3 linked regions of the Diceros bicornis minor genome follow. The protein of the gene in region 1 interacts with the protein of each later gene in a biochemical or structural test. Links are inferred from orthologs where the notes say so. Each region holds a gene or a part of one and is shown on either strand. Other genes may lie near its edges.

Region 1 (7,732 bases):
AGGAAGAGGAAGGAGTTGGGGACAGCTCCCAGGTTCCTGGCTTACATCAATAGTTGGGTGGCTGTCCATTCAGAGAGGAAAGAGAAGTGAAATGGAGATGATCCTAAACTTAGTTTTTAATATGCTGAGTTTGAAGTATCCCTGAGACAGCCACATGAAGATATCAAGAGAGCCACTTGATATATGAGCTTAGAGTTCAGAAAGACTTGGGTTAGATGTAAGTTTGTGAGTCAACTATACAGATGTTGTTAATGGAGCTAGGAACGTGTCAGAGATCATCGAGAGAGAGATTATAGTGAGAAGAGGGCCTGCAATTGACCCCTGAATAAATCTAGGAAATTGGGATAGTATATCCAGGAATCAGCAGGTTTTTTTTTTAAAGAGACAAAATAATTCAGTAATATTTAAGGCTTGTGGGCCACCTAGGTCTCTGTTGCATATTCTTTTCAAAACAACTCTTTAAAAACGTAAAAATATTCTCGCTGACCCCTGGCATATATCAACAACTTTTTCTCAGTTTAGCTCTGAAAAGGAGGAGATTAGGTGGTAATTTGAAGATTTGAGGTAGGTGGTAATTTTTCTTTAAAATTGGAGAGAGATGAAACCAACGGGAATAATCCAAATCAAAACAAAGAAGTCGAAAATACAACAGAAAACATAGGATAAAGTCCCTCAGAAGGCTAGAGGGATGGGATTCAAAACAGATTGAACAATTTGCCTCTAAGGAGAGCAATTCCTCCATTTTAACTAAACTAAAAGGAAGAAGTTAAATAGGATGGTCTAGATACATCTGAGGTGTCTCAAAGGAGACAATCCAAAACACCAGTAGCTTAGGTAAGTATTGCTTCTTCATCAAATTAAGATGAAGACACAGCTCTATAGTTGCCTAGAGGTTTCCAGGCCAAATAATCTGAGTATAGCCCTATAAATAAGTATGGGAAACTATGGGTAATTTAGCTCTGAAGTTAATAAAAATACAATAATGTAATTTTAAAAATGAAGCTACTTGAAACAATATATATATGAGATTCATGAATTTAAAAATTAAAAAAAAAAAGATGACCACTGTAGTGTGTTTTGGAACTAGTATTTTGGATTATCAAATGGGAACATTTTACAACACAGAAAAATTAAAAGAATCCTAAGTGTTGAGAAACATAAAAGAGAAACTAATAGGAATTCTAGAGGAAGGAAAAAAAGGAATAGATGGAAAACAAGTATTGATCCAACAATACAGCAACTTCTTGAGCTAAAAAAAATGAGTGTTCAGATAGAAAAAGCTTACTGACTCACAGGCAAGATTTTTAAAAAAGACAAATGGAAACAGGTGAAAAACAAGAAAACTCTACTGGGCTCTACTATTTAGTACTTGTTCTTTTTTTTTTTCTTTTTTTAAGTTTAGTTCCCACGTTGAATCCAATTTTATTTCCTTGATCTTAATAATGACAACTTTAGACTCCAAGCAGCTACAGAATATATATAATATTAAGAATGTATAGTGGATTTTTCTCAGATAATGAACACCATCATAATTATGTAAAATTCCAACTTGCTCCATTTGGCCACATGAATTGCACGAGTCATTTCTAAGGGAGTTGATGGAGGCTGTCTTGTTAAGCCGTCTCAGATTCCTCACATCAAAATATTCAGCTCACTCAAAATGTGGTGGGGGAAGGGTGGGATTTCTTTCAATTTACATTGTTTGCTTCCTCCCAGCTGAGTCAGTATATCTGAGATGGTAGTGTGTTTTACAACCCTATGTACAGAGCTGAAAGATGACCACCAAGACGCTAGAAAATGTGGATTCTAGAAGGCCTGCAAAACTCAAAACCGTTTCCAACAACTGAATACCTTTTAGTTGTTCCACCACATTATTGAGGTATTTTATGAGCTCCGGATCAGTAGTTACAAGCAGGGTGAGTCCATATTTCTGCACTCGAGTAAAGGTTTCAGATGGATATATGCCACGCTGATATAAAATGCTATTGATGCCAAATGCTGAAAAGAAAAAAAATGTTGAACTTATTATCACTTTGTAACTCGGGAAAACAAAACATTTAGATCTGGCTTTGGTTTCATTAATGGTATGTCTGTAAATGCCTGAACAGACGTGTTTGTGCGGGTCTTGCTGAAAGCACAGTAGGTACAAAATTTCATTAAAAATCCTTGAAGTCTTGCTTCTAAGTAAAAGAGAGAAAGCAATGCCTGCATTTTGTGGCAATAAAAGAAAAATGCCAAACTGCATTAATCTACCACTGCCAAATTTCATTTCATTGTAATCCAAGTCCAAATTCAGATTATGTGGTTCGGGGATGTCAAAGAGGCTTCGGCGCGCGTTAGCAACTGACTGGCTGGTCCAAGGCCCCGGGCAAACCTCTCTCTGTCTTTTTCCTCCTTTTCCTCTCACAAGTCCTGCCAGGTTCTAACAGAAGGAAGGACCGGCCAGGTGCAGAACAGCGCTTCCCAAAGTCGAGTGCATCACCGCCAACCCCAGAATCACCCACACGTGCCCCCCGCCCCGGTCGCATTACGTCCCAAGGCCCTGGGGCGGCGGGGGGGCAGACACGGATCTGCACTTTAAAGAACCGCCCCAGGGCAGGGGCCGTACCCGGCGAGGCAGGCCGCCGCAGCACCGAGGCCTCCTCCTCCGCCATTAGCACCGCGGCCGGGGGAGACGCCCGCACCCGCCTCTCCCCAGATTCCTCCGGCCGGACGGGAGGCCGGGACAGACAGGGCTCGAGTTCGCGGCCGCTGCGGGCCCCCCGGCTTCCCCGCCGCGGAGCCGAGCCGCGGGCCTACCGGGCGGCCTGCCCCGGCCTCCCCGCCCCCGGCCTCCGCCAGGAGGACTCACAGAAGAACTCGGCCACGATCTCGGCGCTCCCGCGCAGGGTGATGCCTTGCTCCCGGGAGAGCTGCAACGCCATGGCCAGGCCACAGACGGAGGCGCGCGCTTCCTCGGGGGGGCAGGAGCAGCAGGGGCTCTCGCAGCAGTTGCCCGCCACTCGTTTCAAAAGTAACGACGCAGCACGCCGTCGGGCCCTTCGCGCAGGCGCGACCAGCCTCTAAGCCCCGCCCCCGCGACGGGCGCAGGCGCAGTGGGTCAGCGTGGTCACGCTGTGCCGGGCGTCCTAACCCGGTGGGTGTCTGCGGGCAGTTCCCGTTGCGGTCGGCTAGGTGGAGCGGAGGGAGGAAGACGGCACGTCCCGGTCTTGTTGGCCGCTCCCTAGGCCTGCAGACTGAGCGACCGAGGAGCACAGATTCTGCGTTCGGAAGATATTTTCAAAATGATATGAACTCCCCAGGGATCCCTAGTGGAGGGCTGAGACTTGGGCTGGACACGTTGGGAGTTCGGAAGGCAGCGGCGCACAGCCGAGCCTCGGCTTTAGAGGCCTCGATGGCTGTGGGAGCGCGGCTTTTCCCGAGAAACTGGGGTGGGGGCCAAAGGGGCGAACCGCAGCCGTTTTTCTGCCTAGTCTGCGTCTGCCCTGGGCTCCGCCCGCCTCCACCCCCAGCCCCCTGCGCGGCCGAGTCTGGGGCGGCTGGGGGTGCAGCTTGCTCTCCGTCCGCCCTGCCCACCCGCAGGCGGCTGGTCAGGAACAAGGTCACCTCGCCAAAAAGGCCCCTCAACACTGAAGAACTTTTCCGTGGATTTTGACGCACAAATTCAATGACTTCATGTTAGGATGAGAGGTATAAAGGAGATGGTGCACAATTAATGTTCATGGCCGTTGTGAAACGAGTTTATTCTTGTAGCAGGTGGAAAGATTATTTGTAAAATGCAGTCTGAAAAACTGTACCAGACATACTGTGTTATTTAATTATATGAGAAATGGCTGAGTGTATTAGTTTTCTATTGCTGCAGAACAAATTACCACGAATTAGTGGTGTGAACAGGCGTTTATTATGTCAGTCCCGTAGGTCAGGAGTCTGGGCGTGGCCTAGCTGAGTGTTCTGAAATAAAGGCGTCTGTGCGTGGGATCTCGTCTAAGGGCTGGGGTCCTCTTCCAAGCCCCTTGGTGGTTGGCAGGATTAACGTCCTTGTGGTTCTTTGTCTTGCCAGCTGTTGGCCAGAGGCCAGGTTTGTGCCTTTGCCAGGTACAGTAAGCCTTCTCACACTTGTAGTCTCCCTGACTTCAGGGAGTTCCCTTTTAAGGGCTTGCCTGACTAGGTCAGACCCGGTCAAACAGTTTCTCCTTTGATGAACGTAATCCCAGAAGTGATAGGCCCTCATATTCACAGGTTCTGGCCCCGCTCAAGGGAGAGGAGTTATATAGGATGTGCTCCCTAGAGACCAGGAATTTTGGAGGCCATCTTAGAATTCTGCCTATCACAGTTATATATCAGATTTTGATCACTTTGAAGATTAAAACATAGGTATAATAAGTAAGAGGCTGACGACCCAACAAAATATTTTCCTTACATCCTTCAGTCTCTGTGGTACGTGTGTGTATCTGTGTGTGTAAATCACCATCTTTTCACTCCTTGCACCAGGAACTTGAGTTAGAGTGCAATGCTACCTTACTGTGTATACAAATTGTCTCTCTTTCTAAGGAACTTTATGTTAATACTCAGCAATTCAGGAAAGACTTCCTTAGGTTTCATAGTAATATAGCTTGTAAATTAGCTGAAGATGCAAATAATTGTTAGTATAATTTTGGAGATTCTAGAATTTAAAAGGCTAGCAAAATGTATTTTTCCATGTATAGATGAAGTATTTTTTAAATACTTTATTTGTGCTCTGTGAGGAGATATAAGAAATAATTAAGGCTTAGAAGGTGTGGTCTGTGCTTTTTGAGTTTATAATCTAGTTTTGATTAAATATGCATACTTAAGGGGAAAAAAAAAGAAAAATTAAAGGCTTACAAATTTGACCTTACTTGCCTTCTGCCTACCTGGGCAGCCCTGTACTTTCCTAGTCTGCCTGATCCTTTAGTAACTTTTCCATCTCAGGGTTTTTCATAATGTGCTTTCCTCTGCTTAGAAATTTCATTTTATCTGTTCAAATTTCAAGTTATGTTTATATTCTTCTCTTTTTTTTTGCTGAGGAAGATTCACCCTCAGCTGACATCTGTGCCAGTCTTCCTCTATTTTATATGTGGGATGCTGCCACAACATGGCTGCTGATGAGTGGTATAGGTCTACGCCCAGGAACTGAACCAGTCCGCGGAAGTGGAGCGCACCGAACTTAACCACTAGGCAATGGGGCCAGCCCCTATATTCTTTTTTTAACTTAAATGTTGTATTAAAGAAATTTTCTTTGACCCCTCAGACTATAAGGTCCTGCTCTTAGGCATTTTCATAGCATTTCATAGTGCTATTTCAGAGCATTGCTTTCAAGGTCAGAATGAAAATAATTACCTTGTTATGATTATAGAATGATTTGAGTTCCATCTTCCCTGTTTTGGTGGAGGATCCATGATGATATTTGGTGGGTGCTCCACAAATATTTGTTGAAGGAATGAGCATTTGAATAGTTTCCTAGGAAAACTTGACAGAAGAACCGAAAACATTTTCCCATTGGAGAGCAGCTTGGATGGATGAGGTGAGGCCACATTTAGGGAGCTCTGAATACCCATCTATGTTGATTGAACTGGAAGTACCAGGGATTTCTAGGTTCTTAGGATTGAAATGATTAGCGGGACATTTTCTCAGGTGTAAATTCAGTAATGGTTGTAGAAATGATTGTGTACAGGACGACTGTGAGTGGTAGTCCTCAAACTTAAGAATGTGAAAGAATCACTTGGGTATTTTGCTAAATATGTATTTTCCTGGCTTCTATTCCCCCTTCTCCAAGCCTGAGTCAGTCCAGTACCACAGCTACTAGCCATGGGTGGCTGCTTCAGCATTTAAAATGTGCTGGTCTGAACTGAGATATGCTACAAGTATGAAATACCTGATTTCAGAGACGATAAAAAAAGAATGTAAAGAATTACATTGATATGTTTTTTAATTAATTACATATTGAAATGATATTTTACATGCATTGGATTAAATAAAACATATTATTAAAATAATTTCACTTGTGTCTTTTTAGCTTTTTAATCTGACTACCAGAACATTTAAAATTACATATGTCACTCATGTTATATTTCTATTGGACGGTGCTGGTCTACTTTATGGGGTTTAAGAGATGACGTGTTTTAACCAGCGTCCCAAATGATTCTGATGCAAGTTCTTAAATCACTTTTTGAAAAGCAGTAGACTATGATGGATATTTTAGCCATGCAGGCCTAGGAGGTTGAGAGCCTGGCCTAGATGGATGCCAGAGAGTTTGAATAAGAAGGCACCACATCAGGGGCTGGCCCTGTGGCTTGGCGGTTAAGTGCATGTGCTCCACTACTGGAGGCCTGGGTTCGGATCCCAAGTGCGCACCGACGCACAGCTCGTCCAGCCATGCTGAGGCGGCGTCCCACATACGGCAACTACAATGCTGTGCAACTATGACATACACCTTTCTACTGGGGCTTTGGGGAGAAAAAGGAGGAGGACTGGCAATAGATGTTAGCTCAGGGCCAGTCTTCCTCAGCAAAAAGAGGATGATTGGCATGGTTGTTAGCTCTGGGCTGATCTTCCTCCCCCCCCAAAAAAAGAAGGTACCGCATCAGAGCAAGACATTTTAAAACAAGAATTGAGTTGATGACTGATATGGAGGAAGAATGAAATGGTAGTGCAGATAACTCCAAGGTGGCAAGCCTGTAATACAGAGTAGAGTTGTTCAAAGCTATGGGATATTAGGAAGAGCTGCCCAAACTCTGAACCTGTTCTATTTCTTATTTATCATGATAACTCTTAACGATTCTAGGGAGAGGTTCAAGATGGCAGTGCAGGAAGGCCCTAAACTCACCTCCTCCCACAGATACAAGAAATTTACAGCTACATATGGAATAATTTTCCTCTGAAAAGGACCTGAGAACTGGACAAACAGCACCTCTGCAGCAAAGATAAAAGAGATGCATCAAGAAGGGTAGGAGAAGCAGAGACTTGGTCTCGGCCGGGAGCCCATCCCAGTGTGATGTCCCACAATCAGGAAGGGATCTGTAAATATGGAACTTTCCCTTGAGGATTGAAGGGATTGTGCCACACATCAGGCACTCTGATCCTTGAGCCTGCCACCAGAAAGACAAGCCTGCAAAACATCTAGTTTTGAAAATCAACAGGGATTAAGTCCAGGGGAAACACGGAACTGTAGGAAATGGAGAATCTGCTCTTACAGGGCTTGTGTAGACACACTTGCCTTGAGATCCAGTGCAAAAGCAACAGTTTGAAAAGCGCCTAGAGCATAAGTGAGGGAGACCCACTTACCAATCCTACAGTGGCTGATGGAGAGGCAGGGACCTGCAGAAAATCTCTCCAGAGACAGAAACACTGGTGGATGTCATTTTCACAATCTCATTCTAACTTCATCATGACGGAGCTGGCAGACGCCACTTCTGGTGCCCGTCCTTAAACCTGTTAACACCAGTGAGCATGCTCTGCACCTTGCCCACTCCATACAGCAGCTGCGCCACAACCAGGACAGGTGAGCACCCTGCACCCTGCCCTCCCTGCACAGCAGCCACACGGTAACTGGGCCGGGCAAGTGCCCAAAGCCCCACCCACCCCAAGCAGCAACTGCACTGCAACCAACCTACGCAAGCGTACCACACCTCCATCTCCCTGTGTAGCACCTGTGCTGCAACCAGGCTGGGTGAACACCCCACACATAGCCCACCCCGTGCAGCATCAGAACTAC
Region 2 (6,769 bases), on another chromosome or scaffold:
CTCTTAAGTATTAACGTAACACACATTAGTGCCATTCAATAAATTGCTTTTATCAAACATTAAGTTCTCACAGTTAAACTTTAGGCTCTGAATATGACCAGATGAGATCATATCAGAGGGATCCTAAGTGACTCATTCCCCGTTGAAAATCTTCAAGTAACTCACATTAGCATTTAGATTGGGCTTTGTTTCTGTTAAAAAGCGAACATACTCTGAATTTCAAAGTAGCTTATCTCTCTGTTTCTCTATGTAGTTTTGCTTGTTTTTAAGATTTATAAAGAGTATCATACTTTATGTAGTTTCCTTGGTCTTGTATTTTTTACTCAGGAGCTTTCTGGCATATTCATCCATATTGTTGCTTGCAGGTGTAATCCGTCCGTTTTCACTGCTGATGATATTCCACAATTCAGTTATCTATTTCCCTATTACTGTAAGATATTTGGGTTGTTTTAGTTTGGCATGTCCATTTTTAATTTTTATAGTATTTCCAAATTGTCCCTCTTTGAGAGTGAACAAATTTTTTTTCCATCCATCAATAAACAAGAACTCCCAGTGGCTTTTTCACTGAGTTTAGTTGGCATTTCAGAAGCAATATTCTAGATCTCAAAGCAGTTTTACGAACTCTTTCATGGGTATTAGTAAAGAGACAGGAAAGAGGCCTCAATGGAAGCAGTGACTAGCCTAAGACCACCCATCAGCTAGGGCCAAGCTAGGAGGTTTGTAGATACAGGATACATTTGTTTTATAACCTAGCAAGATCTCTATAGCATGATCTTTCACGTTGGCTGATCTTCTGAATTTGTTAGAGGGGCAAATGAAAACAGATCTTTCTGTCTCTGAAAAAATTTATTATGGCACAGAGAAAAAAATAAGTCAGATTGACATGTGGTAACAAGCAAGGAGGAGGTCAGGTCCCAAAAAGAATTCCTACCTGTGGTCAGCAAAGTGGCACCAGGGTGTCTGGGAAAGAGCTCGCCCTGGCCTTGGGTGGGAGGGGAATTTCACAGAGGAAGGGAAGAGGGAGATCAGAGCCCAGATTTGTTATTCTCATTCCTTAAAAGGACACTGTTTCTCAGAATCCAGATCCTGTCTACGTAGGGAATCCTCTGAAATCCCCAGCTCCAGTGGGAGGTTCCTGTACTGCCACCTGGAGTTGCATGACAGTGGCACTCTTTAATACTCACAGTCCCAGGAGAGCAGTTCTCATCTACCTTGCACCAGGCTGCAATTTTCCTCCAGGCTCCGACACCTGCGCTCACAGGCTCTTTGCTTACTTCCGCCGAGTCGGGGAGGATAGAGTGGTCTGGGCAGAGCCTGCCACCTAGGACTATTCCTACCTACATATGGGCCCCAAAACTCTTCTTGCTGTCACTCATCCCAAGGCTCCTTGCATCCTCTGCTTTCCTTTGTCTCTCTGTATTCCTTCCCCCAACTTGTACCTTTCCTGTAATAAACAGGCCTATGTGTGCATGCACTCTCCCCCTCTCTTTCCACTGAAGCACAATATGATAAGAAGAAGATAAGGACTATAGAAGTAGAGATTAGCATTTGAACTCTTGCTCACCAGCTACTACTAATATGACTATGGATTAGCTTGCTTATCAATAAAGATACTAATATTTACCTCATTAGAATGCTGAAACAGTTAATGAGGTACCATTTAATAATGTCTCGTGCAGTTCCTGAAATATAATAAGTACTCACTAAATGTTATTTTCCATTTTTAGTTATTCACTTACTTATTCATTTAGAAATTCATTCATGGATTTAGTAAATATTTATTATTTACTATGCTAGACAGCATGCCCGGGAAGTGCTGAAGATACAAGCTAATTAAGACGTAGTCATGACCCTCAAGATGCCTACTGTTTACTGGGGCAACAGACAAGTAAGCAGATGCTCTTATTGCTGAAGAAATGTGCTCTGAGAGGCTTGTGGAGGGAGTATGAGAGGACAGAAGATGGGCACATAACACAGAATAGGAAGGAAGAGAGTTAGGGAAGGCTTCCTGGAGGAGATGCTGCTTATAGTGCATATTCTTATAAATTCATGATGTTGGGGGTAGAGTTGGAGGGAAATGCATGCTCAATGACCTGGTGGCAGAGAGCTTGGCATGTTTAAGGATATGCAGGGAACTCAGGGAACTGTGCAGAGAAGCAGCTAGACCTACGTATCTGCAGCTCAGTTTGGGTGGTGGTTATATATCTGAGGGGCATCAGCAGACAAATATCTTTCCTGGGGAATGTCATTCCAAGACTCCCCCTCCTGGAGCTTCCGGCTAAGGTTTCCTGCTTCCCCTGAGAATGCAGACATTGGCATAAAGATGGTGTAGGCTACTGGAACAAGAAGGGCAAAGAGGGAAAATGTATGAGAAGAGAGTAATTTAATTTTAAGCAGCCTTAAACATTTAATCTCCCTCTTCCCTTTACAGAAATGATGTGAAGATCTAAGAAGATAATGGGTGCAAATAAATTTGAAAAGTGAAAGCAGTTTATTCAATCTGTGTTTTTTATAGATTTTCCTCTCTCTTTTTCCACGCTTCCCATCACTACCCCACTGCAGGGCTTTCTCTTTCTCTATCACCCTCAACCTGATCTGACATTTTCTGCCTGGCCACTGGTGATGTTTCAGAATACCCAAATTCTATTGGATAGCAGATGCAAGGCAGCCTTTGCTGCTGTGCACCAGCTAAAGGTCACAATCCTGGTTTCTAAACACAGAGGACAATAGGAACCTGGAGAGATATCTGAAGGGAGACTAGCAGGTGCCCATGTTTCCAGTCTATTCCATCACACACTCTTCCCTCTTCATATTCACCCTATGTATTTAAAAAAAGTATGTCTACCCCACAAAAATACATTGAGATAATAATTAGTTTTTTCAGTTTTATTAACTAAGAGCTTCAAATAGAAGAACATGATTTATGTTAAGATTTTTGAAATATTGGAATGACCTCTTAGATCCCATTACTCTATGCAGGCACTTCTGTAAATCCAAGTTCTCCATGATGGAAACCCCTGGAATAAAATGGGATCATTTGAAATCTGTCACTGAGTGAAGATACAGTAAATGGCCACTGAAAATACAGCCAACAAAGATGATAACTTGGCATTTTTATGAGCTTTTTACTTTGAAATAAATCCTTTTTTTTAAAAAAATGGGTTTTGTGGCAATGTCCTGAGAGTCTGGGAGAGGGGAGTGAGTAATTTGGAGTGTTAGGAGGATCAGAGTGATATCGAGTCAGTTCCCTGAGGGCACACAGCTCATGTACTCTCTCTTTGTCCCAATCCCAATCTCAAGGGCCAGGCAGTGAGCAGCACCGTAGGCATCTGAGATGGCAGTGTGAGGAGAGTCCAGGAGTACAGCTGGGAAAGTAGAGCCACTGAGGTGAGAGAGTGGATGTGTGATGGCTTTAGTGTGTGGAAGGGGGGAGTCAGCATTTGACTGTTGGCTTTGGATTGTTCTCAAGTAGTGGATTTGGTTTGCAGGTTCTGGGACAGGGGAAGAAGTGAGTCGGAGACCTCAAGACCCAGGAATCTGAAGTTCTTTGTAAAGGACATTTTATAAACAAAGTTTTCTGAGCCTGGAAGACACTTAGTAATTCTCTCAATCATCTCATTTTATAGATCAGAAAACCAACACCTAAAGAGGTGAACAGACTTGCCCAAGGTAATGTAGCAAGTGGCACCGTCATGTCACTTCTCAGTCCAGGGTTATTTATTCTACGTCTTCTCGAGGCTGCTTCACACATCCTGCCAGGCTAGTGTGAGAGGCTGCTCATAATCACATCACTCCACACCTCTGTCCTCTCCTGGGTGTACGTGCTCTCAGGAAGGCCCCTGACTGATGGGAGGTTCTTAAAAGCAGCAAGAGAGGACCACCAAGTTTAAAGGTCTTCAAGCCAGTGAGGGCCCAGGGTTGCAGACTGGACAGTCATAAGTCAGGACTGGGAGTGGTGGGTTGTTAATCAGGGAAAAATTCTCAACAGAGAAGCACCAACCCATGCTTGGATTAAGGAAGGCAGATGTATTGGCTGAGGGGAGAAGGGCTTGAACAGAAAGTATTCTTTGTTTATTGAGTCACTGTAAGCAAAAGTGAAAGAAAATTTATGAAGTTATACAAGAACAGAGAGCACAGGAAATCTAGACAAACACAACAAATCAGGCAGGGGATTTCCAACTCAGCTGTTCATATATAAGCTGGGTGCACTCGCAGTCTCCTCAGGCTCCTGTTTCTACTCCCTTGATTGCTGAGATGGCTACCTGCCTCTATGTAAGTTGGGGTTTGATAATGGGGATGGGGAAAGGGAAAGCACCTTCAAGAGATGGGGGAGAGAGCTCAGGAATGGATGAGGGACAGTGCTCAGGGAGGTAGCGTGACTGGGAGAGCATCTTGAAGGGGATGAGATAGGCATTGATAGCTACAGAAGGTAAAGGAAGCTTTTGTGAAGAGAAGCTGGCCATTTGGCTCCTGAGTTCTCTTTTATGTCAGACCTTGGACTGGCCACTGTTAGGGATAAATGGTAGGAAGTGGGAGTGGGCTTTGTGCTTAACAGGGCTGATGAGATTTGAAACTGTGGAAATACTGTCTTGACCCCTTTTCCCCTTATCCTGTTCAAGGCCCAGAGCTCTTAAACTTAAGCTTCCTTCTCCTCTCAAAAGAGAGGTTCACAAAACTCATTTATCCTAAGTTGTTAATGATCTGATATTACCTTATGCAAGAATATATGCACTATAAAGAGAACCTGGAATGAGGGCAGTGCTTTGCACAGACTCCAGTGAAGAAATGTCTGTGACATCTAGATTGGGAAGATATTTTTGAACAGAATGTGAGGGAGGTCCTCCCAGGCTTTCAAGTGACAACACAGGGGTGAGCTTCCCCAGAGTCTGATATACATCTTTGGATGCTTTGTAGTTGTATTTAGTTTTTGACATTTGACAAAATTTATCCAGATAGGAGGCAGGTAAATAAAGTGGGAAATCGTTAATGATATTGTGAAATGGATAAGAAGTATGGTTATAAAGGAATAAGACTGATTTTATTGTTTGTGTTATAACCTGAAAATTCCAAAAGAGAAGTTCCAAGGAAGGAAGGGACACAGCTTGTTGTAAAGAAGCTAGAGGATCAGATGGGCAGTGAAGGGCAGAAGCAATTAAGGAGGGGGAGCAAGAAGTGTAAAAGGTGGCAGGCAATCTAGGCAACTGTCTGTTGGCCTTCATTGTGCAGGTGAATGTCCATTCTCAGCAATGGAAATTAATGACCTTCACTGCCTACTTGGAAGACAGAGTGAAGAAGATCAATGAACATGTCCGGTCTAAGACCAAGGTTCCCGTGCATGACCAGATCCTTCTGCTGGGTTCGAAGACCCTAAAGCCCATGAGGAAGCTATCATCTTATGGCATTGACAAGGAGACGACCATCCACCTCACCCTGAAGGTGGTGAAGCCCAGTGATGAGGAGCTGAACATGACTCTGGTGGAGTCAGGTGATGAGGGCCAAAGGCACCTCCTCCAGGTGCGAAGGTCCAGCTCAGTGGCCCAGGTGAAAGAGATGATCAAGGCCAAGACCGCTATAACTCCTGAGAAACAGATCGTGACTTGCAATGGAAAGAAATTGGAAGACGGGAAGATCATGGCAGATTATGGCGTCAGAAAGGGCAATTTACTCTTCCTGACACGACACTGCATTGGGGGGTGACCACCCTGGGGATGGGGTAATGCCAGGAGCAAAAGAGTTTATTTCCTTTTGGCTCTTACTCACCAATCACATCCTTTGATTATTTCCCAAAACTAATGAGAGAGAGATAAATAGAAGGATAAGATTTGGGGTGAAGTGGGGAGGGAGACTGCAGAATACTTTCTAACTCTATGATTCTTTGATGCTAACAATTGATTAAGTAGTAGGATTGCATATAATATATTACTTAAAACAAAATACATTTTTAAGGCACATTAGAGATAGCATTCAAAGCCAGCTTGCAGTTTAATCCTTTCTTGGTTCCTTCTGGTTTGTTAAAAAACTCCTGTTTCCTTTCCCATCCAACAAGATAGTGAGTTTTAGGTTGGGATTCATGTTCTCCTAATTTCTATGCTTCCATCTGTGTTTAGCCCAGTGCTTCATCTATTATATTGCTCACTAATTGTTGGAGCAAATTGAATTTTTACTTATAGAGAACAGTGAACTGATTTATTATGAAGTGAATTAATTACTCTGACATGATTACAATCTAATTAATAAAGAATTTAGAAATTCAATTCAACTACTCTTCTCCTTATTTAAAGCTATTTGGTATGAAATAAAACCAGGCACCGTGCCCCCTCTTACTCTCTAATTAAGCCCAATTAAAATCTTCTTATTTCTGGGGATGATGGTGGGCATGGAAAGATACATCCCTGGGGATCTAGAGATTTTGTGTCTCTAGTGGAGGCTCCTTGGGAGCAGATGTGCTTCAGGAGGGAACACACTTCCTGAAGGGTGGGGGATTGTGGACCAGTCTCTGTCGTGCCTTCCTCAGGGTCTAGCAGGTCTTCTCTAGGTTGGAGGTATCAGTTTGGGTGAGGGGAGGAGGGGTTGGTCTCTGGCTTGACCTCAACACTCTGCCCAGGTTCTGGCTGATAGAGCTCTCTGCTTCCTTCACCACCTCTGCTTTCCTCTCAGCCTCCTTCACCACCAGGGACCTGTTCCTCTCTTGGGAACTCCAGACCCTTCTTCCGTCTTACTGCCTTCATTTACTCCTCTGTCTCACTGTCCCTCTTTCATGTCTCGTTAC
Region 3 (7,830 bases), on another chromosome or scaffold:
GTTTGTACTTTCAAACAATAAATCTGTCTTCATTAAAAATTCTAGCATTCAGACTTCTACTAAGCCGAATTGACCTCTCTTTTAATTATTTTCAAGTTTTATGTTACTGGGTGGACTAGACTGGTTTTCTTTGAGAAGAGAATTCAGAAGCAGATAATTGGAGAGTTTCTGTTTACATTTAATTAATACTAATTTTACTGAGAGTTTCTGAGGTGCTAAAAATGCTGACTTGATTTCTGAAAGCTGTAAACTCTAAATGTATGCCAGTGACTTCAAATTTTTTCACCTGTTGAGGAAACACAAAAATTTTTATGTCTGAAACTGAACTATATTTATAGCAAACAATTTGATAATCCTTAACAACTTGAAGTTCGGGTTTCTCTGTATCAAGTTTTACATCTTTCAATGTATATACAAAAAGTCTTACTTGTATATTCATTTACAATATACATTTCAAGGTATATAAAAAAACAGTTTGGGTTTGTGCTTTTTTTTTTTTTTTTTAAGGGGGGGCTGGTAATCTATTTTAAGATGTCCAAGAGGGAAGAAATAAATGTTTCTAATCATAGACTAGTTCAAGTCTCTTTTTTTAAACTGAGAAACACAAAAGTATATCATATTCTTTATTTTTTTAAAGAATATTTTCTCTGATAACAGAATTACTGCTAGCTCACAATGAAATTCATTTATTTCCACAAACAAAACTTTCCTATGAAACAGAGCTTGAAAACCACTCAGCAATACATATTTAATGACTTGTGTACAGAAAAAAAAACTATGTGTAGAAAAGTAACCCAAACCATACAAACTGTAATACTCAGAAATGCCACAGTATATACTATGAGCATGTCGCTTTATAATCTGGAAATCCAGCTGAACAGAGCTATAATCAACGTCACTATCTTTTTCCTTCTCTGCAGCTGAAGTGAGAACAAACAGTATATTACACTGAAATTCCAATTAAAACAAAGACAGCATCACTATATTTAAAAGGGCAGAAAAATCTATTCTTCAGAACACTTGACTGCCTCTATTTTCCAGCTTCCAAAGTTTCAAGTGTTACACGTTCAACGAATTGTTAACAGCATTCCAATACCCCATCTTACAAGGTCCATATCATCAAAATCTTTTTCACTATTTTAAAAAGGAATACTCTACCAAATCTCACTAACATCACTGAAGTTTTTAACAAAGAGAATTCACATTAAAAGATAACTGCTTGGAATGACTGCTTGTCTTTGGGAAAGTAGTGCTATTATCTCGGTAGTTCACATAAATTGACTAGTAGTAAGATGAATGATGATTAGGGAGAGGAGCATCAAGTGGGAAATGCTATCTAAAATCCCATAGGGCAATACACAGCTAGAGGCAACAGCATCCCTTTCTAGGAGGCAGCTCCATTATTTCATGTAGGCAGTTCATAGCATGCAGAAACGAAAAACAACCAAAAACACCTCGTAAATTTGCCCACTATCCATTTATATTATCATAAATCCCCAAAAGCTTTTGAGAAGGTAGCTTGTCACTGCCGTCTCCCCACCTGGCTCATTCTTGAAAACAGTTTGTTTTAAATATATTTGTATGTAAAAACGCAACCCTACAACCCAGCATAGGGTTATCTTTTAATGTTTGTGTTGCTGAGTTGAGCTGTGGGACGCAAGCAATTCACGCTAAGTGGGATGTTTTACGTTGGGCAACATAAACACGCATTTCCTACTTCCATGGACGCACATTTCCCTGAAAGCACTGCACCTGAGGATGCTGCCCTGTCCCCAGACTCTGAGGCTTTAACTCTAAGGAGTCACGACCTGCGCTCACAGCAGAACCACATGGTCACTTCACTGAGAACGATTATCTGGCCCCAGGCGCCACTCTTCAGCCCACTACCTCTCCGGAAGGGGCAGAGGAGAGCGCTGCTAGGAGGCGAAGAGGAGCGACTGACAACAGAGCTGACACTTCCCCTCCCCTCTCCAAGCCATTTCCAGAAAGAGGCACTTGGGAAACGCAGGGGATGTCCGCGGTCCCACCGGCGACCGACCTCAGAGCAGGGCCCGGCGAACCCGTCCCCGCAAGACATGGCGCGGCCACCTGGCCCATCCTCCGGGGCCAGAGCGGTGCTCGCGAAGCTCGCTCCTCCTGCCCCGCAACCCGGCAGTGCAGATCCAGATCCCGGCCGCCGCACACAGTGTAAACACTCGGCACCCGCCGCCTCCCCGCCCGGGGGGCGCAGCTCTCGCGCGGACCCCCGTTTCCGCGCCTCTTGTCACGCACGGGAGGAAAGGCGAGGAGGGCGGAGGGGAGGAAGACGCGGCAGCCAGCCGCCGAGAGGGCCGGCGCCGGCGGCGTGGGCGCCTGTGCGCGGCGGGGAGGGCAGCCCCGGCGCCCCGCCGGTTCCCGCCCGCGCCCGCTTACCTGCCGGGGTCGCTCCGAAGACTCGCACCACCGGCACCTTCTTGACAGGGGCCTGGGTGACGGGGGATTGGCAGATATCCAGCCCCTGCAGCGGGCTGGCCATGTAGTAGTCGGCAGTCACTATCCGCACTGAAAACATGTTCGCCGCCGCCGCCACCGCCTCCTCTTCACTAGCGACCTGGCAGCGGCAGCAGCGGCGGCGGCGGCTCCTTCCGCAGCGGCAGCCCCACGGCAACGGCGGCGGCGGTGCCCCCTCCCCTGCTCGGCGCGTCCCCCTCCCCTCACACACAGACACTGCGAGCGGCGGCGGGCGGGGCGGGCCTGGCACGGCTGCCGCCGCCTCCTCAGGAGCAGCCGGCGAGGGGCAGCAGGAGAGAAGCCGTGGCGCTGTCGTCGGTGCTGGTGCTGCCGCCACCGCCGGGAATCACACGGGCTCCTCGGTCCCAGGCTGCAGCTCTTGTTGCCATGATGATGATGTCACGGACGCAACCACTGGGGGAGGGGAGACCGGGGTGGTGAGTGGCGAAGGGAGGGCTGTGAGTAGTTGGGGGAGGGGACGCGGAGGGAAAGGGAGGGAGCGGGGCGCGCGCCCGAGCGGGACACCCCGGCGGGGGCCGAGAAGGTGTTTTCTCCCCCGCCCCCGGGCACGTAGCGGGGTAGGAGGCTGGGGGAAAGCTGGGCCGGCGCCCGGCGCGGGGGATCGATGACTCGGCCGGTGGGCACGGCCACCTGGGTCAGGGGCAGCGGAGGGGGCGGCGGAGCGCCGATGACATGGATGGGCTCGGAGGGGCTTGCAGGTGGGGGCTATCCCATGTTCAGGGCCGTTTTGGCGGCTAAGCGGGATTGGCCGGAGCTACGGTACTCGCGCTCGCCTCGCCGACCGCCATTTCACATCCTGCACAGGAGGCGGGGGCAGCCGCGGAGACGGCTTTTTACAAGGTAAGAAAACCCGCCTGCGGGAGGAGGGAGCCGAGGCGCAGATCTCGTGCCTCGGCGGCCTCGCGGGAGGGCGGGCGGCGGAACGGGCGGGGCCAGGCGGACGCAGCTGGCCCTTCTCAGGTAACGCCGCGGCTCCGCGCGTGGCCCGAGGGCGGCGCGAGGGGCGGGGGCGCGCGAGCGCGATCTTCGGCCTATAAAAGGGTCGCCCCGGCGCTCCCTCCCGCCTGTGCGGCGCGAGCCGCCGCGCCCCCTCTTCGTGTGTGCTGCTGCAGTGTCTGCGTACGGCCACTTAATGAGATTTATTCACGCTCGGCTCTGCTCAGCCTTGCCAGGATTTGGCAGATCCAGTGCACAGGGATTTCCCACCGCGGTGTTTTTCTCCCGCCCCTTTCCTTCCCTCGCCCTAGCGTATCCTTTCTTGGTTTCCTTTTCGGGCCCGCAGGCTGCGTCTCGGGCGCGCGCGCGGACATGTAAGGACTTGTCAGCTCCCGGTGACCTCTCTCCTCCCCGCCCTACCCCGGTGGAATGTAGGATTAAGAGTCTTTCAGAGAAATTTTCGGCCAAAGAAAAAGGCCCGTGAGAGTCGCCGCGGTAGATGTGGACTCCCGGTGTTATTCATTAACAGGTTGTGCGAGGTTTTACTACCCGAAGGCATAAAAGCAAAAGGGGGAGGGGACTGTAGACAAAACAACTTTATCCAAAAAGAGCAGGGGGAGTAGGGGTACAGTTGTGAAATCGCAAAAAGAAGGGTAGTAACATGCAACTGTGTTGGCCATTATGTTGGAACCTGTGGGTTTTTGTCTGACTTGGTCACTAATATTGGGCGTGACCTTGGACAAATAATTTGTTTTGGGGGGCTTCAGTTTCCTCATCCGTGAAACGAGAGAGTTTCACTTAAAAATCCATGAGTTTTTCCCAACAAAAAGATTTAAGCAGTAGGAGGCAGAAACCATAATTTCAAGTTCGAAATATGCCACTGAACTAGGACTTTTGACAATCATCTCAATCTACCCAAATTAGAGCTCATTCTTTCACACTTATATATTATACAGGTGTGTTTTAATGGTTATTAGGTTGCCACATATATGAAGAGGTGTGCGAGATCCTCATTTGGAACCGTTGTGGTTCTTCAAATAGGAAAATCAAAAGGCTCAAAGGGACAAATCACTGGTAAGAAGCGGTCTAGAAATTCCATAGCATATAATGCTAATAAGAATTTATGCTCCAAGGGATTTGAGACTGATTACCACAGTAAATGAGCCTGCAGTTTTCAACTCAGAGCATGATTATAAATATAGGTGGCAAGATTTCTACTAATATACAGGGAATTACCTAATAATATTTTTAAGATGCAAAATCACTTAAGTTTCAGAAGGCTGTGGAAGGGGTTTAAAAATAGGACTACCATGCTAAAATGCATTTTCTGGTAATTAAATATTTTGTACAAGCTGAAGGTCAGATGCACAACACTAGTGATTCTCATAGTTAATATTTTGAGATTAAATATTATATAATAATTATATATTATAATTATATAAATATAATTAATATTTTGAAATTTATTATTTTGGGGGGAATGGGGCCTGGAAATTTGTATTACTGGGAACCCCACCCACCACTCTCATGATTGTTAAGTAATATAAAATTGAGAATGCCTGTACTATGCTATAATCAAGCACATCCGTAATATTTAAATTATACCATTCCTAACTAGAAAAAGGTAAAAGCATCAAATTCACAGATCTGTTTCTAGAAAAGGGTTTCTTTCCTCCTACCCCTTGAACAACATCATTTACTTTAAGAAAACGCAGTTGCAACCACAATTCAAATCCTTCTATAACTCCAAGGAAAGAATGCTTACTCTTGAAGAAAAGCATTTGCAGTGTGAAATTAGAATATTGTGTCCATTGCACATAATTGAATTTAAGTTCATGCTCAAATTAAAAACCTGACAATTCCCCCCTACCTAATCACTATCAAATGTGTTTTATAAATATATTCTCCCGAGCTAAGAAAGAACTCTGGAATGTTGAGTCAGAGAATGAAAAATTTAAACCATCATTTGCTATCTAAATGAGTTTGGACAGCTCACTTTTTTTTTTGGAATTTGTTTCCTCATCTATGAAATGGATAGTAATTCCTGTTTTAACCACTCAGGGATGTTATAAGGCTCAAATGAGATAATGTCTGTGAAGTATAATAAACTGTTGACATCCAGAAGTTTAACTCGTCTACAAACAGTAAAATCATTGGGAATTGTCTTACCTACGTACAATATGAGGAATGCCAAAATTAAGCTCTATACTTAATATCCTTAAAGCATCTCTTTTTTTGTTATTGTTGAGTGGGTTTTATTTGCCAGGTGATTTGAGATATAGTGAGAAACAAAATAGATGTGGCCCCTACCCTTATGGAGCTTATAGTGTAGCATCATAGAAATGTATTTTAGTCATATCAATCCACATTTTATCATCTCTTCTAGTTCACTGACCTAGACTCATCATGTCGTGTGTTTAGTAAAAGCCTGCCCGGCCTACTGTGCCAATAATGTTCAATGTGTGTTAGCATCTTCTTGTTAGAACAGAAGGCAATGGCTACCATAATTTTTTGGCAGATATTATAAAATGGCTTACACAACACTCATCCAGTTCCCTTATGGCTTGCTTTTCCGTACTTCAGAAGCTAGAAAATCAAAAACTACAGTTTCTAGACTCCCTTGTAACCAGAGTACTGGCATGAGATGAGTGGTGTGCCAGTAAATGTTTAACAATGGCTGGGGGAAGGGAAAGACCCTGATTTGTAGCATTGGCCAGTTTTCGTGGTGTGAATGTTCTTAAGCTACCAGAGTTACTTCAATGAACGTGGCGTTAGTTGGTGAAGATACTAACAATCACGAGCTTGCTTAGCATATCACTACATATGACCTAATTTCCAGCAATCAGATGCACCCATTCAAGACATAAATGTGAAAGTGAGCAACACGATGGCTCAGCTGCACTCAGGGTGATGGTATTTTCTGGCAAACATCATGGTGGAGGTGTCTGGTTCTTCTGGGCAGCTGGGGAGGAGTTCTGGCATCCATTTTTAGAGTCATAGGTGCTGACTGGCAGGTGGTGCTGGGGTGGGTTTCTGCTAGAATAGCCTTGTGATGCAGGCTATTCTTGTGTTCTTCCTGGTTTGGTTTTTCCTGGATGTTTCTAGCTATGTATTATCCAAGCCTGGTTCTCTGGTCCTCTCAGAGATCTGTGAGCTAAATGCTATCCTTTAATCTCTTTCTGCTTAAACTAGCTCAGTCACTCCCAGCAACATAATTTGTGGGGCTCAGAGCAAAATGAAAAAGGTAGGCCCCCTGGGTCAAAAAGCAAGGAAAAAGTGCCACTATATATATTTAAATATAAAGCTTTTTCTTTCCTCTGTTATCTCTCCCTCGACTTGTCATGATGTTTTTTATTTGCTTTTTAATATCATTCTAAGTAAAGAAAAATTAGAATTTTAAATTATTAGAATGAATTTTACCATTCATCTTTACATTGTGCAATGCCATTTATAAATGCAAATATAAGAGCATTTAACTCATATGTAGAATCACCAAAATTACACAATTCGTATTTCATAGTTTGTACATGCATATGTATTTCGTGCTTATCAGAACAATGTAAATGCTGCTCAAAACCAACTCAACTTTTTATTTCCCTTCTTGATATGAAGCACATCCTACCAACCTGAGTAAGGAAGGACTGAAAAGAAAGGGAACTGTGGGCTGCCCTACCTTTCCCCTTCCTTCTATGTCATCATTTTCAGAGTAAATGGTATTACAGGGAAGTAACACACACAAGTAAGAAAGGATATGATGGGGTTCTTTGGTCACATCTATTTCTTAGGATGCCATTGCCTTCTTTTTGCCCCTGAAGCAAGTTCTGGGTCAGATGGAAAGCATAGCCTCTTGGAACTGTCAGCGCCTCCACTAAATCAGTCATAGATGTAACATGCTTGCCTTGACTCACTCTGTGACTCCCTGAGTTCCTTCACCTCATAGGTCCACCAGAATCCTGTGCTTATGAGGCATTGTGAAGACTGTATGCAAATAGGGTGGCAAGGAAGAAAGGACACACACGTTACCTCCTCTGCTTGCATATATGATTCATTGTACCACTGGACTTCATTTATAAAACAGACATTCAAACATAAAACTATTAAGATTTTCAAAGTAGTGACTGCAGAGCATTAAACCAGGCACTGAGCCCTGTTTGCACAGTCTGCATGCCCGTGAAGTTGACCCTGAGCTCAGTGTTTCTCAAGGGGGCTTCTCCTGGTATTTTGGGTGAAACAGTTCTTCATTGTGCAGGATATTTAACATCTCTGGCCCCTGGGCACTACATGCCACTGTGACAAAAATGCCCCCAAAGAGGAGTTACTGCTCTCCGCTGAACTCCTAGAGTGGACTCCACTCTCTGCAGCTAGAAACCATAATCATTACAG

Evidence for each region.
Region 2: the proteins of MAD2L1 (region 1) and UBD form a complex in vitro, tested with the Homo sapiens proteins (2 studies listed by BioGRID). The link is inferred for Diceros bicornis minor from reciprocal best matches to the Homo sapiens genes MAD2L1 and UBD.
Region 3: the proteins of MAD2L1 (region 1) and REV3L form a complex in vitro, tested with the Homo sapiens proteins (2 studies listed by BioGRID). The link is inferred for Diceros bicornis minor from reciprocal best matches to the Homo sapiens genes MAD2L1 and REV3L.

Annotation. Positions count from the first base shown.
Region 1 is NC_080750.1:13,586,777-13,594,508, forward strand, and holds the start of MAD2L1 (mitotic spindle assembly checkpoint protein MAD2A), read right to left. Parts: upstream 3,009-7,732; 5' UTR 2,925-3,008; coding exon 2,852-2,924; intron 1,999-2,851; coding exon 1,852-1,998; intron 1-1,851. UniProt on the Homo sapiens protein: Component of the spindle-assembly checkpoint that prevents the onset of anaphase until all chromosomes are properly aligned at the metaphase plate.
Region 2 is NC_080753.1:36,034,491-36,041,259, forward strand, and holds UBD (ubiquitin D), read left to right. Parts: upstream 1-4,016; 5' UTR 4,017-4,254; coding exon 4,255-4,272; intron 4,273-5,226; coding exon 5,227-5,697; 3' UTR 5,698-6,254; downstream 6,255-6,769. UniProt on the Homo sapiens protein: Ubiquitin-like protein modifier which can be covalently attached to target proteins and subsequently leads to their degradation by the 26S proteasome, in a NUB1-dependent manner.
Region 3 is NC_080762.1:23,945,483-23,953,312, reverse strand, and holds the start of REV3L (DNA polymerase zeta catalytic subunit), read right to left. Parts: upstream 3,016-7,830; 5' UTR 2,552-3,015; coding exon 2,413-2,551; intron 1-2,412. UniProt on the Homo sapiens protein: Catalytic subunit of the DNA polymerase zeta complex, an error-prone polymerase specialized in translesion DNA synthesis (TLS). Lacks an intrinsic 3'-5' exonuclease activity and thus has no proofreading function.